7 linked regions of the Nothobranchius furzeri genome follow. The protein of the gene in region 1 purifies or fractionates together with the protein of each later gene. This does not show direct contact. Links are inferred from orthologs where the notes say so. Each region holds a gene or a part of one and is shown in the gene's direction. Other genes may lie near its edges.

Evidence for each region.
Region 2: the proteins of kpna1 (region 1) and rnmt purify together in Homo sapiens (co-immunoprecipitation; 4 studies listed by BioGRID and IntAct, counting the BioPlex papers as one, with this or other methods). This does not show direct contact. The link is inferred for Nothobranchius furzeri from reciprocal best matches to the Homo sapiens genes KPNA1 and RNMT.
Region 3: the proteins of kpna1 (region 1) and arid2 purify together in Homo sapiens (co-immunoprecipitation; 3 studies listed by BioGRID and IntAct, with this or other methods). This does not show direct contact. The link is inferred for Nothobranchius furzeri from reciprocal best matches to the Homo sapiens genes KPNA1 and ARID2.
Region 4: the proteins of kpna1 (region 1) and nop58 purify together in Homo sapiens (affinity purification with mass spectrometry; 3 studies listed by BioGRID and IntAct, with this or other methods). This does not show direct contact. The link is inferred for Nothobranchius furzeri from reciprocal best matches to the Homo sapiens genes KPNA1 and NOP58.
Region 5: the proteins of kpna1 (region 1) and nup153 purify together in Homo sapiens (affinity purification with mass spectrometry; 3 studies listed by BioGRID and IntAct, with this or other methods). This does not show direct contact. The link is inferred for Nothobranchius furzeri from reciprocal best matches to the Homo sapiens genes KPNA1 and NUP153.
Region 6: the proteins of kpna1 (region 1) and usp1 purify together in Homo sapiens (co-immunoprecipitation; 6 studies listed by BioGRID and IntAct, with this or other methods). This does not show direct contact. The link is inferred for Nothobranchius furzeri from reciprocal best matches to the Homo sapiens genes KPNA1 and USP1.
Region 7: the proteins of kpna1 (region 1) and smarcd2 purify together in Homo sapiens (affinity purification with mass spectrometry; 3 studies listed by BioGRID and IntAct, with this or other methods). This does not show direct contact. The link is inferred for Nothobranchius furzeri from reciprocal best matches to the Homo sapiens genes KPNA1 and SMARCD2.

What each region holds. Positions count from the first base shown.
Region 1 is NC_091747.1:50,442,850-50,446,815, forward strand, and holds the start of kpna1 (importin subunit alpha-5), read left to right. Parts: upstream 1-1,166; 5' UTR 1,167-1,267; intron 1,268-1,509; exon of another isoform or gene 1,510-1,650; intron 1,651-1,877; 5' UTR 1,878-1,885; coding exon 1,886-2,011; intron 2,012-2,090; coding exon 2,091-2,204; intron 2,205-2,314; coding exon 2,315-2,414; intron 2,415-2,544; coding exon 2,545-2,639; intron 2,640-2,768; coding exon 2,769-2,900; intron 2,901-3,063; coding exon 3,064-3,152; intron 3,153-3,245; coding exon 3,246-3,345; intron 3,346-3,487; coding exon 3,488-3,651; intron 3,652-3,747; coding exon 3,748-3,826; intron 3,827-3,904; coding exon 3,905-3,966. Other genes in the region: nanos homolog 1, read right to left, coding at 1-191. UniProt on the Homo sapiens protein: Functions in nuclear protein import as an adapter protein for nuclear receptor KPNB1. Binds specifically and directly to substrates containing either a simple or bipartite NLS motif.
Region 2 is NC_091759.1:9,236,286-9,240,437, reverse strand, and holds the start of rnmt (mRNA cap guanine-N(7) methyltransferase), read left to right. Parts: upstream 1-1,352; 5' UTR 1,353-1,425; intron 1,426-1,515; 5' UTR 1,516-1,585; intron 1,586-2,031; 5' UTR 2,032-2,076; coding exon 2,077-2,220; intron 2,221-2,302; coding exon 2,303-2,432; intron 2,433-2,619; coding exon 2,620-2,745; intron 2,746-2,856; coding exon 2,857-2,972; intron 2,973-3,070; coding exon 3,071-3,252; intron 3,253-3,344; coding exon 3,345-3,509; intron 3,510-3,608; coding exon 3,609-3,726; intron 3,727-4,152. UniProt on the Homo sapiens protein: Catalytic subunit of the mRNA-capping methyltransferase RNMT:RAMAC complex that methylates the N7 position of the added guanosine to the 5'-cap structure of mRNAs. Binds RNA containing 5'-terminal GpppC.
Region 3 is NC_091741.1:59,776,360-59,780,407, reverse strand, and holds the start of arid2 (AT-rich interactive domain-containing protein 2), read left to right. Parts: upstream 1-1,248; 5' UTR 1,249-1,467; coding exon 1,468-1,559; intron 1,560-1,682; coding exon 1,683-1,776; intron 1,777-2,666; coding exon 2,667-2,764; intron 2,765-4,048. UniProt on the Homo sapiens protein: Involved in transcriptional activation and repression of select genes by chromatin remodeling (alteration of DNA-nucleosome topology). Required for the stability of the SWI/SNF chromatin remodeling complex SWI/SNF-B (PBAF).
Region 4 is NC_091742.1:74,286,167-74,290,395, reverse strand, and holds the start of nop58 (nucleolar protein 58), read left to right. Parts: upstream 1-1,429; 5' UTR 1,430-1,554; coding exon 1,555-1,599; intron 1,600-2,177; coding exon 2,178-2,254; intron 2,255-2,330; coding exon 2,331-2,383; intron 2,384-2,595; coding exon 2,596-2,720; intron 2,721-2,793; coding exon 2,794-2,930; intron 2,931-3,109; coding exon 3,110-3,174; intron 3,175-3,820; coding exon 3,821-3,955; intron 3,956-4,107; coding exon 4,108-4,229. Other genes in the region: FMR1-interacting protein NUFIP1, read right to left, coding at 278-509. UniProt on the Homo sapiens protein: Required for the biogenesis of box C/D snoRNAs such as U3, U8 and U14 snoRNAs. Part of the small subunit (SSU) processome, first precursor of the small eukaryotic ribosomal subunit.
Region 5 is NC_091759.1:87,644-90,785, reverse strand, and holds the end of nup153 (nuclear pore complex protein Nup153), read left to right. Parts: coding exon 1-62; intron 63-144; coding exon 145-531; intron 532-621; coding exon 622-831; intron 832-905; coding exon 906-1,092; intron 1,093-1,177; coding exon 1,178-1,250; 3' UTR 1,251-1,439; coding exon of another isoform or gene 1,440-1,588; 3' UTR 1,589-1,696; coding exon of another isoform or gene 1,697-1,783; 3' UTR 1,784-1,843; coding exon of another isoform or gene 1,844-2,089; 3' UTR 2,090-2,642; downstream 2,643-3,142. Other genes in the region: cibar1 (CBY1-interacting BAR domain-containing protein 1), read left to right, coding at 1,440-1,588, 1,697-1,783, 1,844-2,089. UniProt on the Homo sapiens protein: Component of the nuclear pore complex (NPC), a complex required for the trafficking across the nuclear envelope. Functions as a scaffolding element in the nuclear phase of the NPC essential for normal nucleocytoplasmic transport of proteins and mRNAs.
Region 6 is NC_091748.1:69,495,408-69,498,289, reverse strand, and holds the end of usp1 (ubiquitin carboxyl-terminal hydrolase 1), read left to right. Parts: coding exon 1-216; intron 217-313; coding exon 314-472; intron 473-605; coding exon 606-807; intron 808-954; coding exon 955-1,723; 3' UTR 1,724-2,382; downstream 2,383-2,882. UniProt on the Homo sapiens protein: Negative regulator of DNA damage repair which specifically deubiquitinates monoubiquitinated FANCD2. Also involved in PCNA-mediated translesion synthesis (TLS) by deubiquitinating monoubiquitinated PCNA.
Region 7 is NC_091756.1:35,532,469-35,535,968, forward strand, and holds the end of smarcd2 (SWI/SNF-related matrix-associated actin-dependent regulator of chromatin subfamily D member 2), read left to right. Parts: intron 1-456; coding exon 457-554; intron 555-761; coding exon 762-897; intron 898-978; coding exon 979-1,101; intron 1,102-1,974; coding exon 1,975-2,076; intron 2,077-2,160; coding exon 2,161-2,214; 3' UTR 2,215-3,217; downstream 3,218-3,500. UniProt on the Homo sapiens protein: Involved in transcriptional activation and repression of select genes by chromatin remodeling (alteration of DNA-nucleosome topology).

The sequences.
Region 1 (3,966 bases):
ATGCTGGAAGTCCTGCGCCTGGATGGGGTCTGGAGGTGTCGCCAATGGGGGTCCTTCTCGGGCTCCTCTGGAGCCACCTCCCTCTGGTCGCGCTTCTCCAGAAGGCTGCTCAGGTTCATGTAATCATGCCACATGTCGAAGCAGTCGCCACCGTGCAGGAACGAGCTCTGGACGTCCACCCCACCTTGCATCTTTATGGAACAAAAATGTGCAATGGTTTGCGTTAGAGAGCATCGTTGCATATTTATAGGCGCCAGTAAGTCGTTTTAAATTGCAACAATGTTGATGTCTTGCAGGTGTTTGGGTTGTGCAGGGTAATGGCTTTGTTTGAACACTTAAGGGCAGTTGCATTTATTTAGGTAAAAAAAATGTTAAAACACGTGCAAAGGTAAATATTTTTCACAATGTAGGCCTACTACAATCTGTGGAATGTTGTTATTGTTATTTCCTGAAGCCCCAATCAACAAAATATAAACAATGACTTTACTACAGAGTAGTCCGTGGATTAAGATGTTTATGATCTTTATTTTTGAATACTTGTGCAAAAATTTGATTATTAAAAATTATAAATGAACGCATATTTTATCTTTTTCCAAACTTTAAAAAGGTGCACCTGTTTTGCTCTGGTGCACGCTTTTCGATATTTGCGCCTGTGACACATTTAGATGTTAATATTTAGATTTTGTAATTGCATGTGTTGCCTAAGTTTGTAAATGTAGTTTAAGGACAAATCACAAAAGCAAAACATGAAAACAACAATAATAAGTGATGGTGAAAATGTCTTGCATACACTGTGATCAGTGTGTGTGCATGTGTGTGTTCCTGTGTGTTTATGTGCATGTGTGGCTACCTTGCCGACCCACCGTTAACCCCTTAATGATCCTTGGCGCCTCAGTGTCTCATCTAAAACACTTCAAAATAAACACCTGCACCGTTTGAAAAATGTTCAGTAAAACTGACAGAACGCATCGCTCTTTGAAGTTAAAACAAATCTGTCAACCCCTAATTGTGAGTGGGATGACTCTTTTGGCTTCTGAACCTTAACACGTTCAACTTTTGACCTACACTTTCACTTTTGAAGACGTTTTCACCCTTTTAATCAATGGAAGCGTCATATTTACAAAACAAAAGCCTCGTGTGGGCGTGGCCACAGAAGCGTACGAGGACTCCTCGTACGTGCCTCGAGGCGCATGCGTAGTTATTTACCGGTGACGGCTGTACAAACGGTGGCCTAACGAACAAGGGGATTACGAGCACAACCCGATAGGTAAAATAAGTAAAACATTTACACTTTTTTATTTATTATGTTTAGAAAGCCTTTACATTGACAAGATGTTTTACCATTTTTGCCAGAGACATCTGGGAAACGCCAGACTGTCCGCAGTGCTAAGCTTGGTCTCGACCTAAGCTAACATCCAGCTAGCCACTAGCTTACGGAGTTGAGTAGGAGGCTAATACCCGCTGTGATATAAGCAGCCTGACCCTGTCTGTACGTTGCTGTAGTACTACCTTGTGTTTTTAGTAGTGTCAGTTGACTTCGACAGGTTTTCTTCACCAAAATTGACATGTTTGGTTTCCTGCAGCCCACGCAGTAAATTCAGAGAATGCTAACCTGCTAGCAAGGTCTCTTAATACTTTAGCTGAAGCAATGTTTGTTTAGAGGAATGATCTACTCATTGACTGTGAAAGAGACTGCTGAAGTAGCAGTGTGATCCACCCAACCTTTTGCTATGACTGTCAGAGGATACTGGGCGACGTTTAATTCATGAAGGAGGCTAAAACCAAGATTAGGATCTGCTCTGATCCAGCTATGCTAAAACAATGGCTCCTAATCCTAGTCAAGTCTGTGTCGATCATAGGTATTTCTGTGCTCTCAGGCATCACTATGAGTCAAAGTAAGGACAATGCACGACTCAAGAGCTACAAAAACAAGTCTCTTAACACAGATGAGATGAGGAGGAGGAGGGAAGAGGAAGGCCTGCAACTTAGGAAACAGAAGAAGGATGAACAAGTAAGTCAATGGTTAATGTGACCGTAAATGAATAAAATGTCAGAATTTGCAACCAAATAAGCATCTTGTTCTTTTATAGCTTTTTAAAAGGAGGAATGTTGCCACTGTGGAGGATGAGGGCACCCTTGAGGATGATGGAATGGCTGATAGTGGCTATCTGGAATCTCAGGCTAACAACCTGGACCCACTAATGGTGGGAAAATATTCCTTCTTTTTCTGCAATCAACTCTTTTTATTTATATATTTATTTTACTACCGTTTAAAATCACATGTCAAATAAATTCTTATTTTGTCACCTCACAGGGTGGGGTGATCTCTGATGACATGATTCAGATGATCTTCTCCAGCTCTCCGGAGCAGCAGTTGATAGGCACTCAGCGCTTTAGGAAGCTTCTTTCAAAAGGTTGGCTTTTTTTTTCCTTTTTTTAAATGTGTGCATTTTAAACCATGCACCCTGTTTCAAAACATCATGATTTACTACCTGAGTTGAAACATTTAGTGGTTACATTCCTACAAATGTTTTTCTTGCGCAGAACCCAACCCACCCATCGACGAAGTTATTGCCACTCCGGGGGTGGTCGAGTGTTTTGTTGAGTTTCTGAAGAGGAGAGAAAATTGCACATTGCAGGTTTATTTCCCAAAGTTAAATAAAATTTCCTCCTCGTGTTGGACCGCATCCTCTCTCTGCCTTGTATGGTGTCTCTAATTCTGCTCATGGTTTAATACATTTAAGCCTTTTTTGTAATTATCTTTGTAGTTTGAGGCAGCTTGGGTGCTGACCAACATTGCTTCAGGGACATCCCACCAGACGCGGGTTGTGATCCAGGCTGGAGCTGTGCCCATCTTCATAGAGATGCTGAGCTCAGATTTTGAAGACGTTCAGGAACAGGTTGGTCGAGTTTTCAGGCTTATTTCTGCATCAACAACCTTATATCTGTTAACTTTTTTTTAACAAAAACATGCAAGAACTGGCCTGTGATGTTCTTGTTATACAAAATCATACATTCATGTAGTGCTTGTTGTCTAAAATGAATAGTTGTTTCACTCCTCAGGCAGTGTGGGCATTGGGTAACATAGCAGGTGACAGCACAGAATGCAGAAACTTTGTCATCAACTGCAACATCCTGCCTTCCCTGCTGCAGTACGTCATTGATCTCTTTGTATAATTTTAGAAAATAAAAATGGAAAAAACAGCATCTTTAGGAATTTTTGCTTTGTTAAATCCCGCTTTTAGGTTATTGGCCAAACAGAATCGCCTAACGATGATGAGGAACGCCGTGTGGGCGCTCTCAAACCTGTGTAGAGGAAAGAACCCACCCCCAGACTTTGCTAAGGTAATTTGCCAAGATATACTATCGCTATGGCAACTGCACATCAGAGCACATTTCAAGGTCACAGGCAGGATGGTCTTCTAATTGAATCCAAAAGCAAATTTCCTCTTAAATCTCCTCATGTTCTCCTCCTTGCCCCGTCCAGGTGTCCCCATGTCTCTGTGTGCTGTCCTGGCTGCTGTTTGTTAACGACACAGACATCTTGGCTGATGCATGCTGGGCACTGTCCTACCTATCTGATGGGCCTAATGACAAAATCCAGGCTGTTATTGACTCAGGAGTCTGTCGGAGGCTAGTGGAGTTGTTGATGTAAGAATTGAAACTTTTTTATTCTGCAGCGTGTTGTAGAAGCGTGTGTCCAGTCCCAGATTCTTTCATATGATCCACACATCTCCTTCCCTTTAGGCACTCTGATTATAAAGTGGTGTCTCCAGCTCTGCGGGCTGTTGGGAACATCGTCACTGGCGATGATCTGCAGACACAAGTAATGACATCATCAACACAAACTGTTAAATAAACATGAATGTTCTGATTTGAATCTGATTTTTATTTATCCTTTCAGGTGATCCTGAACTGTTCAGCTCTGCAGTCCCTACTTTACCTCCTGAGCAGCCCAAAGGAGTC
Region 2 (4,152 bases), on another chromosome or scaffold:
AATCCCCCTCCGTCAGCCTGCATCTGATTGCTAGAGACAAACAAGACTGTAAGACTAAGAAGGTCTATTTGTTTCTGTTGGAGGAGTTGTTTGTGAAAAGTACCCAGTCCATACTGGAGGTACGGAGTGAAAGTCTGCTTCAACTTGGTAGAACAAATCAGAATAATTCAGTCAGACCTTCTGGTCTCCCACTTAAGAGTTTTGCAGCTCCACCTGCAGGATGTTTGTTTTCACTCCACTGACATATTGGAATGAAAGAAGGCAAGGCAAAAGGAATTTCTTATGGATGTTCTTTAAGTGAAAATGATTACAGCACAATAAACAATGCCAAACCTCATATAATTATCATTTCCAAAGACTGGTTCCAGTTTGTGTGTACATGTGTGCACACAGATCTGTCTCCTAATTAAAGTGTTTAGTGCATCAAGAAAAATATCCACAGCCTGCTGAGCAGCTGAAATTTTGAACAGACCTACAAAGAACACATCTTGCTATTCTATTATGTGTGCTGCAATCATCAAACTCTCTGTTTATTTATACTTTTGTACTGGAACTGAATTATTTTATATAGACACCAACTTGACATTTGGCATTGATAATAAATGGCAAGTTTAAAAATGTAAAATTTCCAACAAAAAATAAAAAATAAAAAAATAAAAAAATAAAACAACGTTAGTTAATTATGAGGAAGACTGATAAAACGAGGAAAAATGCCCATTTGTTTTTAACATACTTAAATTTTACATTTATTTTCACTGCAGAACAGTTTTGCCACACTGTGTGTTTTAAATTAATTAACGTATAGCATAAAGACAGCCAATTCTTACAGAAAATATATTTAGCTAATATTTCATTCAGGGTTAAATGCTGCATTTTTGTTGGACTGCTCTAACATAAATGCATTATCTTTTAAAAGGTTACTTAATCTTTATTGTGAATAAGAGTAATTTGGAAATGTGTTTCTTCTGCCTTCATTTGTTTTTAAAAAATGTATTAAAGTTTACTTATCTTCAATTTTGCCCTTTAAATAAAATAACTATATAATATTGCAAATAATTTTTAATTCCTTTGTTTTAACCATGCTTTCTTCTGTTAAATAGACAAAAATGTACAACCGTCCACATTTTTTATTGATATTTGCTTTCTTTGCCCTGTTTTAATTTCTTCTGTTTTTAATATTATAACTTATGGGTACTTCTAGTGCATGTATTCATACGCCTCCTACTTTTTGGTAAATTATATTTTCTACGTTTATGATGTTCGCTTATTTTTGGCCAGTTTTGTTTGAATAAGTTTTATTACTAACCATGGACACATATACGGGTTCTAACCTTTTATTTGTGTTTCGCCACGTGTCGCAGACATTTGACGACAGTGGAAGCGGAAGTTTATCAAAGCGCATGCGTGCTGTCAACAGAGATCATTGTGAGTAGATTATCATATTAGAAAAGAAAATTCTTAACAGTTTACATGATTTTATCAACAAATAGTTTGTATTTTGCTCTCATCTGATAGTTTACATCCAGGCAGTGGTTCTTCCTGCTTCCGGTGAATCTCTGACGGGTGTTTTATTGGATCTACGAAGGTAAGCGTTAGCATGCTAACCAGTTAGCGGGAGGTTTATTTATTCCCGTAACTTTATCTGAAGGTCAGCTTTGCCTTTACCCGAAATTACTGAATGAAAAACTGTCTGACTAGACTAGGGGGTTAAACAAGAAAGAAACTTGATCATAATTATTATTTAGCTAGCTTGCTTGGGAAGCAAGACCACATTTCCCTCCATACATGTTCAGCTGTAGTTTATTACATCAATTTGTTTTCAAACAACCAAGCTTTCAATTTATTTTAAATGCTTGTCATGTTTTAAATAACGTTACAAGTTGGACTTTAAAATAGTTTTGCTCCAGCAAGGTGATCTTTTATTCATAAATCAATAGAAGAGTGGTGCGTTTTCAGGTCTTTTGTAGGTCTTTAAATCATGTAATCAAAGCTGTGATTATTTAAACAACTTTCCTTTTTTTCTGTTTCCAGTCAGCCTGGTTGTGCTTTGTCCTCCTCTCATTCCAGACTACAGAAATGGAGAAGGTAGGAGAGAAACAGGGAGAAGAGGACGGAGCAGCTCCAGCAGGAGGAGGAAGTGAGCTGGGGCAGAAGTCAGGCACGAAAAGGGTGCCAGAGAGAGGTGATGATGAGGAGGAGACACCACCCACCAAGAAACCAGTAGGCATATCAATAATTATAATGAAATAAAAAAGTGTGTCCCATGCTTGAACACATTATTGATGTGTTATTGATCCTCTAGGTGACTGATCACAGCGTGAAGGTTGCGAGTCACTACAACAAACTGCAGGAAGTTGGTCTGGAGGTCCGAAGTCAAAGCAGGATCTTCTACATGAGGAACTTTAACAACTGGGTGAAGAGTGTTCTTATTGGTAACTGATCACTAATTAATACTATTTGTTAATCCAACAATAATCCCTCTCATGTTTTCACCCGATACGATCAATCTGTCAATCGTCAACCAGCCTTCTGATGCTGCTGTGACCTTTTTCTTTCCATAAACTCATTTTTAGTTGCGTTAAGTTGAACATCTGTTAAAATCTGTTCATTGATTATCAGGTGAGATGCTGGAGCGGGTCCGAGGAGCGGGAAGCAGGAACGTGTCGGTGTTGGACCTCGGCTGTGGGAAAGGAGGAGACCTGCTGAAGTGGAGGAGAGGAGGAATAAATCGTCTTGTTTGTGCAGGTGGTTAAAAAAATCACCCTTATTCTTTGTCAGGAAATAAGTTCAACTCCATTCCTAGAAACTTTGTGTAGCCTTGCTTTCTTTAATGTTTTGCGTCTGTGTTGTTTCCAGATATAGCCGCAGTGTCAGTGGAGCAGTGCCAGAGTCGCTACGAAGACATGAAGCGGAAAAGTTACAATAACGAGAAAATCTTTAGTGCTCAATTCATCACCGCAGACTGCTCCACGGTAACTCACTTGTGTTGGTTCTGTGATTAGAAAGAGGCTGAAACAAAGCTGGTGTTTCAGAACGGTGTGAATAATAATAAAATCGTTTTGTGGTGCAGGAGGTTTTGTCAGAGAAGCTGGATGACCCCCAGCTGATGTTCGACATCTGCAGCTGCCAGTTTGTGTATCACTACTCGTTTGAGAGCGAGCAGAAGGCAGACATGATGCTGAGGAACGCCTGCGAGCGTCTGAAGCCTGGGGGCTTTTTTATCGGAACAACGCCAGATGCATACGAGCTTGTGTAGGAACAAGGATTATATTTACACTTCCGTAAAAATAACCATTTAATCTTTATAGAGAACATATTCTAATTATTGCTTTTTGTGTTTTCAGGAAACGTCTGGAGGCGTCTGACTCGCTGACCTTTGGTAACGAGATCTTCAAAGTTTCCTTCCAGTCCAAAGGTTCCTACCCGCTGTTCGGATGTCAGTATCACTTCAACCTCGAGGGCGTGGTCGATGTGCCGGAGTTTCTTGTCTACTTTCCTGTTTTGGAACAGTAAGATTTGGTTTTTATTGCGAGCTTTTTAACAATAACAGAGTTCTTGATGGAATAATTAGCTGCAGGAAGTAAAAAGCACCTGTGTTTGTGTGTCAGCATGGCGAAGCGCTACAACATGCGTCTGGTTCTGAAACAGAGGTTTTCAGAGTTCTGTGAGGAGAAAGTGAAAAAGGAGCAACACCGCAACCTCATGATGAAGATGATGGCTCTGGAGGTAAAAACTGAAGCTTTAGGCCTAGTCCACACGTAGCCGGGTTTTATTAAAAACGAATAACCGCCCCTCCAAAAACTTGCATCCACACCACCTTGTTTTAAAAATAAACTCTGTCCACACGTACCCGGATAAATACGTTGTTAAGGACATGCCAGACCTGTAGGCGGCAGTACTTCCCCCGTTCTTAACCTCGTCGTTCGTCTGTGGTCTTCCGCAAGGAGCAGTAATTCCGCTTGCAAAAACAAACAAGCAAAAAGCGCTTGTACAAGTGATGAAGCGAGCGCAGCTCTGAGGGCATCCATGCTGTCGGCTAGTGTAAACACAGGTCGCACACGTGATGTCAGCATTTTTTGTCGCGGAAAGTGACGTTGCGGACCTTAAAACTCCGGTTTTGTCTGTCCACACGCAGACACCCAAAACGGAGAA
Region 3 (4,048 bases), on another chromosome or scaffold:
CTAGCGCCATCGACTCGTTAGCCCAGAATTCGTTTGATGAGTGGGGAGTCCAAACAGGCGCGAGCTGAACTCCGGCGTACCGCAGTTTGACAGCAAAAATAGCGCTGTTTTTAAAACCACAAGCAAGGACATGAACTTGTTCCGCTGTCTAGTGTCAATTCCTCAAAATGGGGTCTGCTAACGTACGTCTCCGCCATTTTGTGACAGGTTTTTCATTGAGCAAAGGGGTACGTGTAATGGTTGAATGTAACCCCATCAAGAAGATATCCGCTCGGCAGTTACAGCAGAAAGGGACCAGGGGGAATTTCAGATAAAAGTCCTGTAGACGCGGCCACAGCTAGGGACACCAGCTGCTTCCCACATCCGCTTACCCATGCAGCAACAGATTGTACGAATATAAATTAAAAAATAATCATATTTACGTATAACACAAAATAGTATGGTCAGTTTATGTAATTACAAAAGCAGTACAATTAATGTGTAACTTACAAGCATGTTATTACATAATCAGTGTGTGTAGATGTTTTAAGCTTTGCCACTTAACAAAAATATTAAAGTTCAAACAAGTTATACAGGATAAAATATGTTAGGCACATAATATATGACTTCATACAACACAATAATTAATATGCAACTCATCTTTTGCAGTCAAAAGTTCGCAAAGTAAGTTTCTTTCATTCGTTTTTAAGTATATATTAAAATAAAAAAAATCTATAAAAAATATTGAGCACCATTATGACACGTGCATCACTATCCTACTGATACTGCTGAAATAATAATTTGACACCGATGTTTGACACGCACTTTTATATTTAAAACAATTAGGTAGCTACTATTATGCGCTTAATTGGAATATTACGAAGCTGGGTTAATTTGTTTTTCCCCTCCCCCCACGGGACATTTCCAAGAACCCTTTGACCCGTTTTCTAGGCAGCGGGCATGAATTGTCAGACGATCCCTAAAACAGAAAACTGTCTATTGTTCCAGCAGTCGCTCTACCTTGGAGGGTGCAGTACCGCCGGTGGACACGGAGGGCGCTGCACGCATGGCAGGCCGGGCTCCGCGGCCTTCACATCTTTTTGTCTGAGAACTGGATCCCTCTGCCGCTCTACAGTGTGTGCGATAGCCTCGGAGCTGCGTCCGTACCACACTGTCAAACCACTCCAAACGAACACAGCCGCGACCAAAAGCATTAATTCAACACCTTCAGCCATGGCGTTTCTAATCCACCGGTAAATCGGTCGTATTTGTGACCGCTCGTTGGAACTTAGTCCGTGCTTGTATCGGGTTTGCTTTCTGTGTGCATCAGTCTTTATTAGCGAGCTGCCGCTCTCTTTGCTATCAGCTATTTCTTTAACTTTTTAAACACTCAGCTTGGCGAATGACTGCGCGCCGGCGGAGTATGGGATCCTTGGTGTCTTAGGAAGCAACTGAAGTGGGATTTTACCGTTTTTGCATGCAAAAACAATGGCAAATTCGACGGGGAAAAATCTACTAGATCAGCGAAGGAAAGGACAGGCTTTCCTGGACGAGCTGCGGCAATTTCACCAAAGCAGAGGGTGAGATTGGGGTGCCTTTATTTCCAAGAAATACAACTTTAACTACAAATTGCAATGAAGGCGCGAGTTCCCAAAAGTGTAATTTAAACATGTGTGGCTTTATTTCATGTGTTATTTCAACAGATCGCCGTTCAAAAAGATTCCTATCGTGGGTGGGAAAGAGCTGGATCTGAATGCACTCTACATCAGAGTCGTCTCTTTAGGTGGATTTGCTAAGGTGAGTGGGAACCAAAAGTGTCATTTCTCCACTTTGCCGTCCGTGGACTTCTCACCGGACTACTCCACAACTCTGAGCGGTTAACCCGGGACAAGTCTCACCCTCCAGAAAGCCGTTCCAGTGGCTCGGCGTTGGCCTTGTGCTAGTTTACCATGTATCTCTATGCAATGTGGTGGCTTGTGTTGTTGTGTGGTATGAATTGAAGAGTCCAAAGCGCTCGGAGTCAGAGTGCAGTTGGAGCGACTCAAAATTAGCGGGCACGTTTACCATCGATTATCGGCACGGAGCCCGGCTTCGGGGAGCACCGCGTTGAACGCGGCGCGCTGCCCGGGCTTTCGCCAGCAGTTTTAACCCGGAGGGAAGCTTAATTTCTCGCCATAGCCATCTTTCTTCGGCTTCATGGCTGGCCACAGAATGTAGGCCTCACAGGCCCATGTAACGAACACAGTAAACGGGTACATACACTGACTCCACAACCCAACGGCTCGCCGCGAGCGCTTTCTGCCCCGGCAGTTTGTTGTAGTTTGCCTCGCGCGGTTTAAACGCTCAATTAGCAAGTAATCAAGTTAGCTTGTTAGCTGTGTAGCTAACTAGCCTAAACTGTAACAAAACCGTTCTAAATAGTTATTTTAAATGCTAATAACAAATACCCGCTATTACATAACAATATAGAGACTATTTTAAACATAACTTCTAAAGGTTATGCTGGCTTTATCTATTTTGGGTCATTTCCTGCAGTTTGAGAAAGTTATTGATAAGAGGTTGTGACACTGTCTCAATGGAGAACCTGTAGCAGAGGGAGCAGCTAGCTGCCTTCACTGTAACCGTTCTTTGTGTTGTTGTTACCGGTGTTTGCTAACCAGCAGACCCTTTTATCATCCTCTCCTCAGGTCTCTGATAAAAACCAGTGGGCTGAACTTGGAGAGGAGTTTAACTTTCCCAGGAGTTGTTCCAACGCAGCATTCGCTTTAAAACAGTACTACCTGCGGTAAGTTGCATGCAACTCTCTCCTCTCAGGTAGCATGTGGGAAGTGTTTACAAATGCTAAGATGCAGTCAGCTGGATGCAGCCTCGCTGCTTCCCTCTGCTTGGAAGCTGCACTTGTGGAATATTGCAGAGGAGGTTTGAGTACTACTTAATCCACCAGAGAAGCAAACACTCGGGCTGAGTTGTCTTTTTAAACAAAGCTTTTGAAAACATTGGTTTTAGGGCGTTTTGACACTTTTAGCCCGGGGGCTCTTGTTGATGCCATGTTGAATGGTTCTGGATGCTCTTACTTGTATCACATGCACACTTCGAAGTCAGTCAGCTGCATTGAGCAGAGTCTGTTTTACCCCCCCCCCCCCCTTTCCAACAGCTGGCATTTGTGGTTTGTAGTGTTTTTTCCATCACTGTAGTGTTCCCATCACTAGCACCTGCCCTGCAGAGGTTGCACCTGTGCAGCAGAGAAATGCTTGTAGACATTTAGAGACAAGTGGTGATAGAAGAGGCCAGCATTGTTTCTTTATATATTGTCAGTGAGCGGTGACAGGATGAAGCTAATTTTATGACTAACTGTAAGGCAGCTGATGAGACTTGGAGCTCATCGGAAGTTCAGACAGCTCTGATGGATCTATAGAGCAGAGTTTCGTAAACTTTTCAGCTTCTGACACAAAATTACAGCAGCTGAGACTCGTCACCACAGCCACCAACGGTTAAAAAAAAGTGTAAACTCTACAGTGACATAAGGACAACACAAACTGTCCACTATTTTACTATCTCTGGCCAATTTATGACAACTTTTTATAGAACAGTTGTGGCAAAATATCCATTATAGTAATTTTGTGGGTTGTGGAGATCAAAAAGACCCACATTGAGGTCCTGGCCCTAACTTTAGAAACCACTGGGTCAGAAGGGGAGGACTGGTTTGAAGTATTTCAAAAAACAAACTGGCTACACTGCTGATGGGAATCCAGAAATATTAGGTATTAAGTTTATAATCTATAGCTCCTGCAACCTGCAGCTAGTCTGAAATCTGCTTGTATTTTTAACCAGAAATGACAAGACCCTGAGTGAAGTTCATATTTGAACGGATCTTAATTTTACATGAAAGTCATTGTTTTGTCAATAAAATTACACAAACACCACAAATAGGTAATACTGTTCTTGTATCAGTAGGTAGCTTTATTTATAGCACTTTTCAGGCCCTGTTGGGTGTTTATGTTGCAGCATTTATCAGATATCAATCATTGAGTCTGCCCTGGTTACTTCTTAACATCATTTCAGTAAAGTA
Region 4 (4,229 bases), on another chromosome or scaffold:
ATAATACCCATGTTGTAGGTTTTGTATTTCATTGAGCCTAACAGGCCACTGCAATGTAGAGTCTACTGTGGGTAATTCTGGTCTCATAATTAGTCATCATAAACTCAAATCCGTCTGCAGTCTCTTTTAGATGTGATCTCTAGTATTTCCCAACACACAATCATGTTAGATCATCTGGAGTTCACTATACAATAATTGTGGTTTTGATTGATTTCCATAATCAAGCATTCCAAACACAAACATTGAGAGAGGTGTCCTCTTTTAGAAACATAATCACCAAAGGTCTCACAGTGTGGATGGGTCTGACCGTGGTACCCTCCCGCCTGTCCGTGACTCCAGTTCGGACTGACCCAGTAGCTCCAGCTGGGCTCGGACGGCGTCTCTCCCCAGCTCCACATGCTGGGGTGGAAGCTGCTGGCCCGAGGTTGCTGCTGCTCCTGGGGCGTGTGGAACGAGCTTGGAGGGGGACAGCTGAAGTCTGGTGGAGGGTAGCGTTCTGGTTCGTTCATAGCTCCAGCTCCGGTGCCTTACTCAACGTTACCAGCCAGAAAACGGTAAAAGTTAGCTCAAGGTATTAGTCCACGCGCTCGTGTTTTGCCAGAGTTCACGCGTTCGTCACTTCCGTGAAAAAAGTGTGTTGCGTTTTGGATGATCGGAATTTCCTTTTCAATTTCTCAGAACTGGGATTTACAAGTTATCCGGATTACAACTGAAAATTAGATTTCCTACAAAAATATTTTAAAACAAATCTTCACACATCTGGAGTCGCCTATGTGCTTTAAAATTAGCTACATAAAATGTCATTCTTATATTACGGGAGTTTGTTCTCTTTTATTCTCTACTTGTTTGTAATTCTCCTTTTATTACATTTTGTTCTTTAAGTAACATCACGTATTGTTTAATTATATTATCTGTTTTATTGATCAGTCACTTTAATGATGGAATCATTAATAATAATATCGTTTAAAAGTGCGTAAACAGTTAGTTTGGCGTTAAGTTTTACTGTGAAAGCAACATACCGTGCTCATAACCTCTCGCGAGATTTGTTTGCGCGCATCTCTGGCGTTGCCAAATCAAATCCAGTTTGTGACATTTAATTAAAATGTATAAACTTTTTACTTTTTAACAAAATGAACATAACGATAATTTAAAAATAATAAGTAAAAAATACAATACGTGGTTTTACTATTTTGCTATGCGATCATAAAATAAAGGTGGTGGAATAAAAAGATGGAATTGAATTACATTTACTTTGTTAAAAGCTTTCAAGAACACACAAAACAACACAGTTGCATAAATTTATTATAGTTACTGTGTATGGCGTTTTAAAATACATTTATTGTTTTTAGAGTTAGCTAAAACACAAAGGAAATACTGACGTTTGGGTGATTTTGGTTCAAATTAACGGATCTGGCAACCCGGAAGTTTCCCCCTGCAGCAGCTCCTCTGCACCGCGTGCGGTTTCCGAGCCTCACCATCGCGGTGACTGACCGAGACGAAAACTGTCAGCTCTCTGAAAAGAGAGCACTTTAATAAAACAGAGCAGTTTCAAACATGCTCGTTCTATTTGAAACCGCCGCTGGATATGCGATATTCAAAGTGAGTGTTTCATTCTGTCAGTTTACCGATTGAAGTACGATATTTCGCTCGTATGTCTGTAGTTAGCCTCGATTAGCATCCTAATGTCACACATAAATTTGCCCTTAAGTAACAAGTTGGTGTTATTAGGGGAAATAAAACAACCGAGCTCTAAACGTGTCTGTGTGGGCTTGAATATGGCACCGTGTGCTTTCCTATCTCACGTGCACGTCTTCGTTTCTAAACTCAAATGCTAACATGAGTTAGCATGCTGTTAGGGGCCTGTGACCACGTGCGCTCCTGGAAGCTGGCTGAGTTTGATCTCAAACACAACAGAGAATGTAGTACACTCGCTCAATAAAAGGATAATTAATCCGGTCAGGTTATTGTAGAGTCGTTCCTTCTAAATGCACTTAAAGTGTGTTTGTGTGTTTGTGCTAGCAAAGTATCAAGAGCAATGTTGCCCATGTGGCTGTTTTTTTCGTTCAAGTCTATAAAAGACAGTTTGGCTCGGTGCAACACTTGCCATGCACAAGTTCCCTAGCTTCCAGCATACAGACGCTTTTATTGTCTGGTTGCTCAAGTTTATTTGTTTTTAGGTCCTAAATGAATCAAAGCTGCAGCAGGTGGACAGCCTGTACAAGGAGTTTGAGACTCCTGAAAAAGCCAACAAAATGTGAGTATGAACACGTCTCAGTACCCTCAGCTCAACACCTCACTCTGGGGGCTTACATCTGTTTTTCCTCCATCAGTGTGAAACTGAAACACTTTGAGAAGTTTCAGGACACGACGGAGGCACTGGCAGGTAAAAACACTCTGTTGTGTCTATGTTGGTGGTCTGTGATGGATTTCAGTGTCTGATAAAAGCATGAGGTTATCCACAGCAATCGTCACTACCACTGAGACCACCCTGTCCCTTCAGCCAGTAGATAAGAGAAGATGTCCAGGATAGGAGCAGGGATTATTAAAGTGTGCTTATCTAGGTTTAATCAGTTGTTTCTGACCTCTGCTGTGAAGCTGCCACCGCTCTGGTTGAGGGAAAAATCAGCAAAAGTTTGAAGAAGATCCTGAAGAAAGTCGTGGCCAAGGAGGCTCATGAGGAGCTAGCCATCAGCGATGCTAAACTGGGTGGAGTTATTAAAGTGAGTTTCATCCTTCTGCAGACGTCAGAAGATCTGTCTGTTAAAGATTTTCTGATCAAGTTTGTGTTCTTAGGACAAGCTGGACCTGAACTGCGTCTACAGCCCCGCAGTAGCCGAGCTGATGAGATGCATCAGGAGCCAGATGGAGAGTCTGATCTCTGGACTTCCTCCCAGAGAGATGAGCGCCATGTCTCTGGGCTTGGCTCACAGGTCAGGGTCACCCCGGGGTTATACTACAGCTGCTGCTGCTGCCTGTGATTACACATTGCTGTCTGAGATCCTCATGTAGATGTTCCCATCAGCATTCGTCACTACCACTGAGGCTGCCCCTGTGCTCCTGTTTATCGCCTGGTCTGTTGTTTATCAGCTAACACCCTCTCCTGTTGCAGTTTGTCCCGCTACAAGCTGAAGTTCAGCCCGGACAAAGTGGACACGATGATCGTTCAGGCCATTTGTGAGTGTTTCGCTGATGAAGCATCGTGTTGTTTTCATACAATATTAGTGATAATGACCCCTGAATGCAGCATTAGCTGGTTAGGGTTAGACATTAGCGGGCTAAATCTACAGAAACCTGTAGAAAGTAACTATTTTATTTCAGAAATTTCTTTTTTTTAGGATTTGATTGAATGTTCTCCCCTGTGAGGTGGATTAGTAATATTTCAGCCATTCTATAAAAAATCTGAATTTAAGAAATATCAAACTGTCAGTTCAGCCGAATGTTCATTTATTTTAAATAGAAAGATTTAAGTTAGTCAGATGATTAATATATAAATATTTATGAAGAAATTTAGTCTTTTGTCAGGATTTAACATAATGTCAGAGCACCCTTGATAATAATGGTTATTGATCTTATAAATATTATAAGAGGAAACTAAACTGACGTGATAAAAGCTTAAATCAGAAGTTCCTGGATACTTGGTTAGGCTGAACCTCACCTCCAGTGACCCCACAGAAGAAGCTAGTAGCAGCATCGCCGGGCCGTGTGGGTTCAGACATCTTGAAAAATTGAGGAAAGCCCAGTTTGTGTCCCTGGTGTCCTTTTCTGTGATCCTGGCTGTCTTTGTCCACAATAACCGGAGCTTGGGTGTTTTTGTCCTCAGCCCTCCTGGACGACCTGGACAAGGAGCTTAATAACTACATCATGCGCTGCAGAGAGTGGTACGGCTGGCACTTCCCCGAGCTGGGGAAGGTCGTCACGGACAACCTAGCTTACTGCAAAACCGTCCTCAAAGTCGGTAAGGTTCGTTGTTTAAGTAACACCTGGGCTGATGTGAAAAAGAGACGACAGCTTTTGTTTTAATTATCAAAACCCATAAAGGAAGGGCAATTATTTACCTTTTTACTATGAAGTGTCTTACTGATTGGACGGTCGTCTTGTCCGCCCCAGGTGATCGTACAAACGTGTCCAGCACCGATCTGTCAGAAATCCTCCCTGAGGAGATCGAGGCTGAGGTGAAGCTAGCTGCTGAGATCTCCATGGGAACAGAAGTATCCGAACAGGACATCGAC
Region 5 (3,142 bases), on another chromosome or scaffold:
GAGCGAGACGTCCGCTTCAGAGACCCCAAAGCCTACGTTCACCTTTGGACAAAGTGCTGCAGGTGCTTCTTCTGTAAATGTTTAGCTTCAGCGGGGATTTGTTGTGTGTTTACTAAAAGTGACGCGTTTTTTTCCCCTGAACAGATCCTGCTGCTGCCCCAAAACCAGTGTTTTCCTTCATGGCTAAGAACATCGAGATCAACACCACCAACTCCGCCACCTCCACACCCACTTCTAGTTTGTTTGGCTCCGCCCCCACCACTGCTGGCGGCTCCACGCAGGCTCCATCCTCCTCATCGGCGCCCAGCACCTTCGTCTTCGGCCAGCCGCCGGTGACCACCAGTGACGCTCCTCCCACTAAGGCATTTGTTTTTGGACAGAGTCAGGACAGCCAGTCCTCGGCTCCGTCGAGCGCTCCTCTGAACTCCGCCCCTGCGCAGTCTCAACCCTTCATATTTGGCGCTCCTGCTAATCCTGCTGCTCCCAACTTTTGCTTTGGAGCAACAGCGCCCTCTGCTGCCTCTTCATCAGGTCTGCTCAGCTTTCTGTGGATTAAAGTTTTATAATTTCTAAATCTTTACTTTATTTTAACGTTTAACTTATATTTTTGTTTACTTTCAGCTCCTTCTGCAGCTCCTGCCCCGTTTGTATTCAGTTCAGACCCTCCTGCTGGATTTGCAACCACCCAACCAGCATTTGGATCTTCTTTTGGATCCCCTTTCACAGCCACGCCTTCCCAAACTCCGGCCTTTGGAGCCAACGCTGCTCCCGTTTTTGGACAACAGACCAACTCCACGCCTGTTTTCGGGGCCGCTGCTAACTCCACGTCAAGTAAGTAAACTCTTTTAATCTGTACTGGTAGTGATTTACTGGTTGTTTGAGTGTTTTGTTTGAATCTTCATCAGGTGGGGGCTTTCAGTTTGGAGGAGCGGGTGGATTTGGAGCAACAACCAACACCAACTCAGGTGTGTTTACTTTTGGAGCCGGAGCCGCAGCCGCCCCTGCCCCCTCCACCAATTCCTCCATCGTTCCCCAGCCGGGAGCAGCTGCTGGTGGCTTCAACTTTTCACAAACTCCAGCCTTTAACATGGGGTAGGTTAATGTCACCAGCTTGTTACCGGATGTCAGAATCCTCTCGATTTGTGCTTTTTAACTGATCCTGAATCTGCTCTTCCAGATCAACTAAATCCTTCGCCGCTTCTCCGGCGGCTGGACGCAAGATCAAGACCGCAGTGAGGCGCAGAAAGTAGACCTGCATGGCCTTGACCAGACTAGGCATGAGTACGACTAAACTAGACCCCCCCAACTCACCACAACGCAGACTGTTGTAGTTCTCACAGGTCTCAGCTGGACAAATTTCACTACTGTTTGGCAAGCAGAGCTGATCCAGGGCAGTTTTGGCTTGTTCAAAGATTTTCATGTGTTAGTGAGAGTTAATAATGTGTGAGACCTCTGGACTTTACTTGACTAAACTACTACACGGACTTAGAGGACGACAGTCAAGCAAAGACCCCACTCCCAAACAGAAAACAAGCAAAACAGTCATATCTTTGTTTTACACGCCGGCAAAATGTCTGCTAGACTTTAGGCATGACTTTTTTTTTTGTAATAAAAGTACAAAAAGAGTAAAAAACTGCAGTTTAAAAAAAGAAAATAAAGTTTGAGTGTAAGCTTAATAATTGGAGTGTGTGATCAGATTAGGAGAGCTGTGTGGTAAATGTTCAGTTGTTCCTGCTGAAGCCTCCACAGGAAGCACCGGACGTGTTGGTGCCGTGTGCCGTTTGTACAGAGACGAGCTTGTCTGAATGCAGAGTGCGTGTCTTTTCTTTCCTCTTATGTACAGACTTGAGGTGTGTTTGGCTTCTTTGTACATGCTGAGGATGCGTGTCGGTGTGTTAGAAAACTTAAAACGACTGAGTTATCGCCTGGTGGCGCCGCCGCTGGCGAGGAAGCAAATGAATGTTGAAACAAAACCAGGGGAGGAAGGCAGGAGGGGCAGGGTTCGGGAGCTGGGAAGCTGCATTAATGCACAGCGGAGGACGGACCGGGCCGGAGGCGCAACGCCCTCGTTTGACCCCTTTAGGACTTTGTAAATGTGTAGCTTCAAAAATCCTCGTTAGATGTTTGATTTTTCTCTGGTTCGCTCCGCAACTCCGCTTTTTGTGCACTCTCGTCTCTCTCGGTCCCCCCTTCCTCTTCCCGATTCCTTATTCTCTCCCTTTATTCCTCACAAGCTCTCCTTTTTCTCTTAATTGGCCTTTGAATATTATAAAAAACTTGTAAATAGTGATATTTTTTTTAATCTGTGAAGTTGAGATTTTTTTGTGTTACAAACTCTGCATTCAGCTTTTTTGTCTTTAGAATTTATTATGTAAATTCCTATATTCAAAGTTGCCCAAATCCATTTAAAAGGAGCTTAAATGCAAATTGGAGAACCTTTAGGTAAAGGTATATTGGCTTTTCTGATCCACTTTTGTTTGGACCAAAACCAGTATTGTACAAAGTATTAAGTATATATTTTTCTATCGCATGTTTAAATGGAGGCGGGCGACTTTGGATGATAGGGACGTCAGTTTATTTTAAAGCCATGATTATTACTGGATGAGTGATAAAATTACCATCAATAAAACTACAAAATTATACCATTTTGCTGCTGGGTGTTTTTATGCAAAACTAAGATTTTATCCTAGACTCCTACATAACACCTTACATTTGCATCCACAAACTCATTTTAAATAAACTTTTTAAGTCGTTTCACAATATGTTCTTATTTATAGATTTATGTGGTTATACTACTGAAGTACTCATAGCTGGAATTTCATAATTCTGCCAGCAAAACAGTGAAGAAGAATTTATGGCAGCATAAATTCATTTTGTATAAATTCCATTGAAATGAGCAACAACGCTCAAAACAGTCACTAAATGATAATGTTCAATGTCAGCAGGAAGAATTACAAACGTGTTAAAAGCCAAATATTACGTTTTTAAACAATACCGCTAGATGGCAGTCTAAGATGAGGAATAAACAAACCAGGGGGGGTGTAATAATGAAAATAGCAATTCAGTAAAAGACGAGTTATCTGGGTTATTTAGGTAACATGACATTTTTTTCTAAGTGTCTCTAAATTTTGGGATGAATGCA
Region 6 (2,882 bases), on another chromosome or scaffold:
AAAAGAGGGCCAAGCTGAGCTGGCTGAGACCGTCGGGAAAACAGCCAAGTATTTTCTCCAAGTTCTGCAGCGTCGGGAAGCTCAGCTCCACAACCGTGAAGAACCAGAACGAAACGGAGTCGAAAACAAAGCTGACAGACGAGATGGATGATAAAACGGGCCAAGAGCCGTTGTCCCAGAACGCTAATGAAGAGAAGAACATGAAGGAACATCAAGGTAGGCCTCGAACACTTCCTCAGAGAGGGAGAGAGGCTTGCAGTTTTTCTACAGTGAATAAGGTGTTTGTGTGTGTGTGTGTGTGTGTGTGGCTCAGATGTCTTGGGCTTGATGGAGAGGTTGTTCCAGGGTCGCCTGGTTCTGAGGACTCGATGTCTGGAGTGTGAGAGCTTTACAGAGCGGAGAGAAGACTTTCAGGACATCAGTGTCCCCGTCCTCGATGAGCAGCCCAGCAGCCCAGAGGATCTCACAGAGAGTGAGTTTTTGTTTTTATACCAGAGGAACAAATATCATCAAGCCTTTTAGAATGAATAGTAATATGTTGAAAGTTGTTCTTAATCAGTCCACTTCAGAAAAAACTCCTGTCCTGATCTCTCTCTCGCCCCCAGTCTCTCCGGACCCCAAACCGGAGGTGAAGACTCTGAAGTGGGCCATGGCTCAGTTCGCCTCAGTGGAGCGCATCGTCGGGGAGGACAAATACTTTTGTGAGACGTGCTTCCATTACACCGAGGCTGAGAGAAGTCTGCTGTTTGACAAAACACCTGAAGTCATCACCATCCACCTGAAGCGCTTCTCTGCCAGCAGCTTAGAGTGAGTGCTCAGCAGACCCAGCTGGTCAGACCTGTGTGGAGTTTGAGCAGAGCTTTGCTCTCTGGGTCGTCATCGCACTAAAATGATGTAAATCACTGCAAAGACTAGTCAGATCGGTGATTTAGATTTTTTTCTGTTTGGCTGCAGGTTGGACCCGTATGCTGGCCTCTCTAAAGTCAACACCCCCCTGCAGACGCCGCTGACTCTGTCTCTGGAGGAGTGGTGCACAAAAACGTCATCTGCCAGAGGGCAGCGGTATCAGCTGTTTGCCGTGGTCATGCACAGCGGCATCACCATTAGCTGTGGCCACTACACTACTTATGTCCGCATGTCCGACCTGAAAGATGTAAAGCTCTGGCTGCAGGACAAAAAAGAACCAGAGGTGGAAACAGATGAGAGAGAAAGGAAAAAGGGAGCACAGAAGGAGGACAAGCTAAACTACGACGATGGAGAGGTGTCCGTCAGTCTAAATGCTAGAGGACAGAGGCGTTCGGGTTTGGCTAGCGCTAAAGCAGCGAGCAAAAAGCTGTCGGAAGCTGGTGTTGGACTCTTGGGAGGACAGAGGAGTTTGTCTGGTTATGAGCTGGAAAACGGCAAACACACAGAAAAAGCAGCCAGTCGTAGAGCATCCGAAGGTTCAAAACGGCAAAAGACCATAAACGGCTCCAGGCAGAACACCGACGGACTTCAAAAGGAGTCTGAGACGACTGAGGAGACCTCTACGGGGATGAAGGCGACAGAGCAGCAAGCTTTGAACCATCTTCTGGAGTACGAGGGGAAATGGCTGCTGTTTGATGACTCCGAGGTGCGTTTGTTCGAGGAAGAGGATTTCCTGCGAGCCTGCTCCCCCGAGACGTGCTCCTCCTCCACACCTTACCTGCTGTTCTACAGGAGGATGGCTGAACCTGGGAACTAAACCAACAGCTGGAGCTTTACCTGTGAAGCTTGGTGCCAAATATCAGAGACTAAGATGAGGATCCCTTCTGACCCTGAAGCTTCTACCAGCAACAGTGGGACCAAGACCCGTCTCATCCTCTCATGCAGGGACTCCTTTCGTAACAAAACACATTAGCACAGCTTTTTTCCCTCCTGTACGATCATAAAAGGAAGCTGAAGCCTTTTATGGTTTTATTATCTATATTTTAAGCCTCTATACTGTCTTAGGTCTTTACCTAGCGCTAAAAGCACATTTCTACTAATCTTTCATAGATCGGATAATTGTACATCTAATTTCAGGTTTTGTGCGGCCTAAACTTGTTCTGTATTATGTTTTTTTGCACCATTGCTGCATATTTAAAGAAGTCTCTTCTTTTTGAGTGTTTTCTTGACTTGTGCAAAAGCCATAACTCAGTAATGTGCTGTTGGGAGTAGGAAAGCAGCCTCAGCAGCAGGTGTGTAAGAAATAATGAAAAAGGTTGGTCCGTCTATACTTACTCCAAGAAATGATCAGGTTTTTACAAATACAAACAGGAAACGTGGTTTAATGTTGTACAAAATACACAAATGTGAAGCATTTGAATGGTTTTAAGCTAAAGGATAGATTTGCCTCTTAATTGTTGCCGTTTTTGGTTTTTAGACGGTGGAACTTTCCTCCACAGCTGTACATAGATGATTACCAGACCAGAAACACCTAAATGACTGCTAAAGGGAAATATTTCTTTTCACTGAATAAATGTGCTTTAAAACAACCAGTTATTAAAGCTTAAATGGTTCTCAGTGCTTTATATCCTAAGCACCATTATTTAGCTGATTTACTGTTTTTGAGTTCATAATTACTCCACCTTGTTTTCCTGGAAAATGGGGGACTATTTTTAATAAACAATGTAAAGTGTCAGTAGACTACCCCTACCAGGCTGTAAGTTATGAGCAATAAAGTTTTTACCTTCACCACCTCGACTATTATTAACGGACCTTCTCCTGCTGCGAGCAGGTCCCTTATAGTTCACCAGAGGATTTGATCTCTTTATTCGTCGAACGTTAACGTGGCTCCAAGGACGGCACGCACCCCCACAAATTATACATGAAAACAAGCGGATCAGCTGTGGGACACGTATTACTTTTCTAAACAGTCTGAT
Region 7 (3,500 bases), on another chromosome or scaffold:
TACCTGAGCTGGGGTAGGTACTCGGCTGGTAGAGCCGCTGAGCGGGCTTGTTTTTAACTCACGCTGATTGGTTGTATTCGCCAAATAACTGGCCTTTTCAAAAATGGGAAGAGTTGTTGGTGAAGATGAGTGGAAGTGAAAGAAAGCAAACAGCATTAATGCTGCTTTGAAATTGCAGTTTCTGAAGGTTCAACGCATATAATGCAGTGGAAATCCCCCACAACGCCATTATCCACACTGCTTTGTCAAAAACAGCTTCTTCTGGTCATTGAACGGCACTTTTTACTTCACACAGCTGCTCTCCCCGTCCCCTAAACTCCTAAAATGGAAACAGGACTCATGTAGTCCTGGTCTTAGCTTTAGAGGGCTGGATATGAACTCTGATGGATTAGTTATCAGTGTTTTTTAACATCACCTGTCTTAAGTGCTAATGCGGTTTAATAAAATTGTGTTCAGATCTTCAGCTGTCCACGCATGAGGTTCAGTGAGATCCCCATGAAGCTGGCGGGCCTGCTGCAGCATCCTGACCCTATTATTATCAACCACATCATCAGGTAGGGTCTCATCTTACAGCTTCAGACAATCTCTGCTTTCAGACACACAGTGTCACCACACTTGGTGAATAAGGTTCATAGCTGCTCCTACAGTTAATAAACACAGATGTACGTAGAACCTTAGAAACACTTTCTATTTGGTTCTGAGCTGAGATAAGGTATAAACCCGTCCTGTAGTCACCACCAACTCCTTTGTTCCCTGAGCAGCGTGGATCCCACAGACCAGAAGAAAACAGCCTGCTATGATATTGACGTGGAGGTGGACGACCCTCTGAAAGCTCAGATGAACAGTTTTCTGTCCTCCACCACCAACCAACAGGAAATCGCTACTCTTGAGATGAAGGTCGGGTCTAATCTGGATTCATACTAAAATGAAACGAGCCTGTAGAAACCTGAAACGTCTTCCTTTGTTGTTTATGTTCAGATTCATGAAACAATTGAGTACATCAACCAGCTCAAGACTGAGAGAGACTTCATGCTGAGCTTCAGCAATAATCCACAAGAGTTCATCAAAGACTGGCTGAAGTCTCAGAGCAGAGATCTGAAGGTAAAGAAATGTCTGCTGCAACTACCATGTTATCGTGACTCTTTTGTCTTATTTTAGTCCCTCATTTCAGGACAAACTAAATAAAATGAAATGAAGTTGAGTTAAATAGCAGAGACAGGGTAAAATGAAGTTCCTATGTTTTTTTTTATCTGATTAAATCAAGTGTTTAGATCTTGACTCGTTTAGATTTCCTTTACGGCTTAGACGGCAAAAATATTTTAGTTTTCTGAACATTCTCCTTAACCTGGAAGTCAGGTTTTATTGGGTTTGTTTTTTTACTCCTTCGCCATAAGAGTTCAAATCTGTCCCACTGGAATCTGCAGTGTTTACTCATCATTAAATGTTGCTTAAGGTGATATTCATTATGGGGATTACAGCATTCTTACGTTTGTTTACATTATATAATGTGACACAATAGCACAGAACTCATTCTAACATATTTAGCCAGTAAACGGATGCACCTTGTTGCCGGCATGTGCTCAGAGAGCTAATCAGGAAGCATTCTGCTGCAGGTGGTGGAGGGTTGATCTCCTAAAGCGAGCCGAAACACGTCTAAAGATAAATGTTCCAGCCAGCAGTTAGAAATGATCAGATCAGAAGGATCTACATGTCTGGGTTCCTGTCAACACAGATTTCACCCCACCTTGTTTTTTTTAAATTTGTTTAAGAAGTCAAAGCTGTCCTCCCTCACCTGACATGGTTCATGGTTCGTTCAGAAGCCACAGCTTTGTTCTGTGTTCCTGTAGCTTTACAAACCTCCTGAGCCTTAAGCAACATCTCAGCAAGATGCAGTTGTAGATAAGAAAATGAAAGGCATGTTTGGGGCATCTTGTTGGTGTTGTTGTGTTCACTGTTGCATTTCTGTTGAATCAGCTGATGACAGACGTGAGCGGAAACCCAGAGGAGGAGAGGAGGACCGAGTTCTACGAGGCGCCCTGGGTCCCAGAAGCAGTGGGCAGATACGTTTACTCCAAAGTAAGTGAAGACAGATCCCAGAGCTCAGAACAGCACATTTTAGTCATCTGTATCTGAACCAGAGGTACTCCTTCTCCGTTTCAGGTGCAGCAGAGAAGGCAGGAGCTGGAGCAAGTTTTGGGGATCCGACTGACCTAAAGGCCAGATTCCAGAGGAGTTTGCCTGCGTTTGCTTTTGTTTAACTGGAATAGAGACAGCCATGATCGCAGCTTAAGCCATACTTATTTACTAATGGGACCAAAGTGATGATTTATGTGTCCTTTTGTAACGTGTTTGCCTTGGATGGTTTTTCATTTGGAGCCTTTTCAAATCATTTTTACTTTTTTGTCTTTTTTATTCTTTTTTTTTTTTACTCGCGGTACAAAATGCTGAAAACTGTTTGAACACTGGTCCTGTAAAGGATTCTGCTTTCCCACGCTGATGTTTTGTGTGATTTTCTAAAAGTTGTAACATTTAAATGTTGACAGTGCCTGATGTCTAAAAAATATCCTTAATCAGTTTATCCCATATATATGTAGTTGTACTACATGCCTATTGAAATGTCCTTGAAGAGTGTTTGAATCTATATTTTATGTAAGTTTTAAGATAAACCCTTAAAACACTTTCAGGTCATATTTTTAATACATAAAAACATCAAATCAGGAAATACGTCATGCCTGTGGTGATTTATGAGAAGCTGTTTTTATACAGCCTTCTTTGTTCCTCTGATCTTTAGCAGCTCTTGTTTATATGTTGAAGGTTTACATGTTTTTTTTATTTACTTTTTTGTTTGAGGACCACAAAAATGAATTTTCACAGCCTTTGTAGAGGTTTGCTATTGATTATAAACAGGAATGCAGCTGTGGTGTCAGATAAAAAAATGGTGTGTGTATGGGGAAAAAGCTTTTTTACAAGCAGTCTTATGAAACATTCCGTGTATTTGTGCCAAAATGTGTTTTGTGAAGTTGATTAATTGAATTTGAGAAGTGTGTAGTACAAGTACTTTTGTACAGCTTCCGTGTTTTGCATGTTTTTGATTCAAAAGCTTTTTTAAAAATCTTTTTTTACATTTGAGGTGTTTTTCACAATAAATATACTTGCAAATGTTGGTTATTTTCTATATCTGAAACAGAAACCTACATTACATATACGTTATATTGCACTGAGCTATTGAGGTGTGTGCTTGGATCAGGGAGCTGTGCATGTTGAGGCTGGTCGCTGCGCTCAGATGCTTCACGAGGGCAGCAGTTCCAACAGGAATGTCTGGTTTTACTCAAACAACGCTCCTCAAATAAAGCCCGGGACTGATACAACCAACTGTCTTTAGGAAGCCGTGTCTCAGCTTGTCTGGTGACTCTTGTTTAATGCTTCAGACGTGGTATTGGCTTGTGTGGCAGAAAATCAAAAATAGTATTTTTAATTGTTCTATAATGTGTACTTCCTAA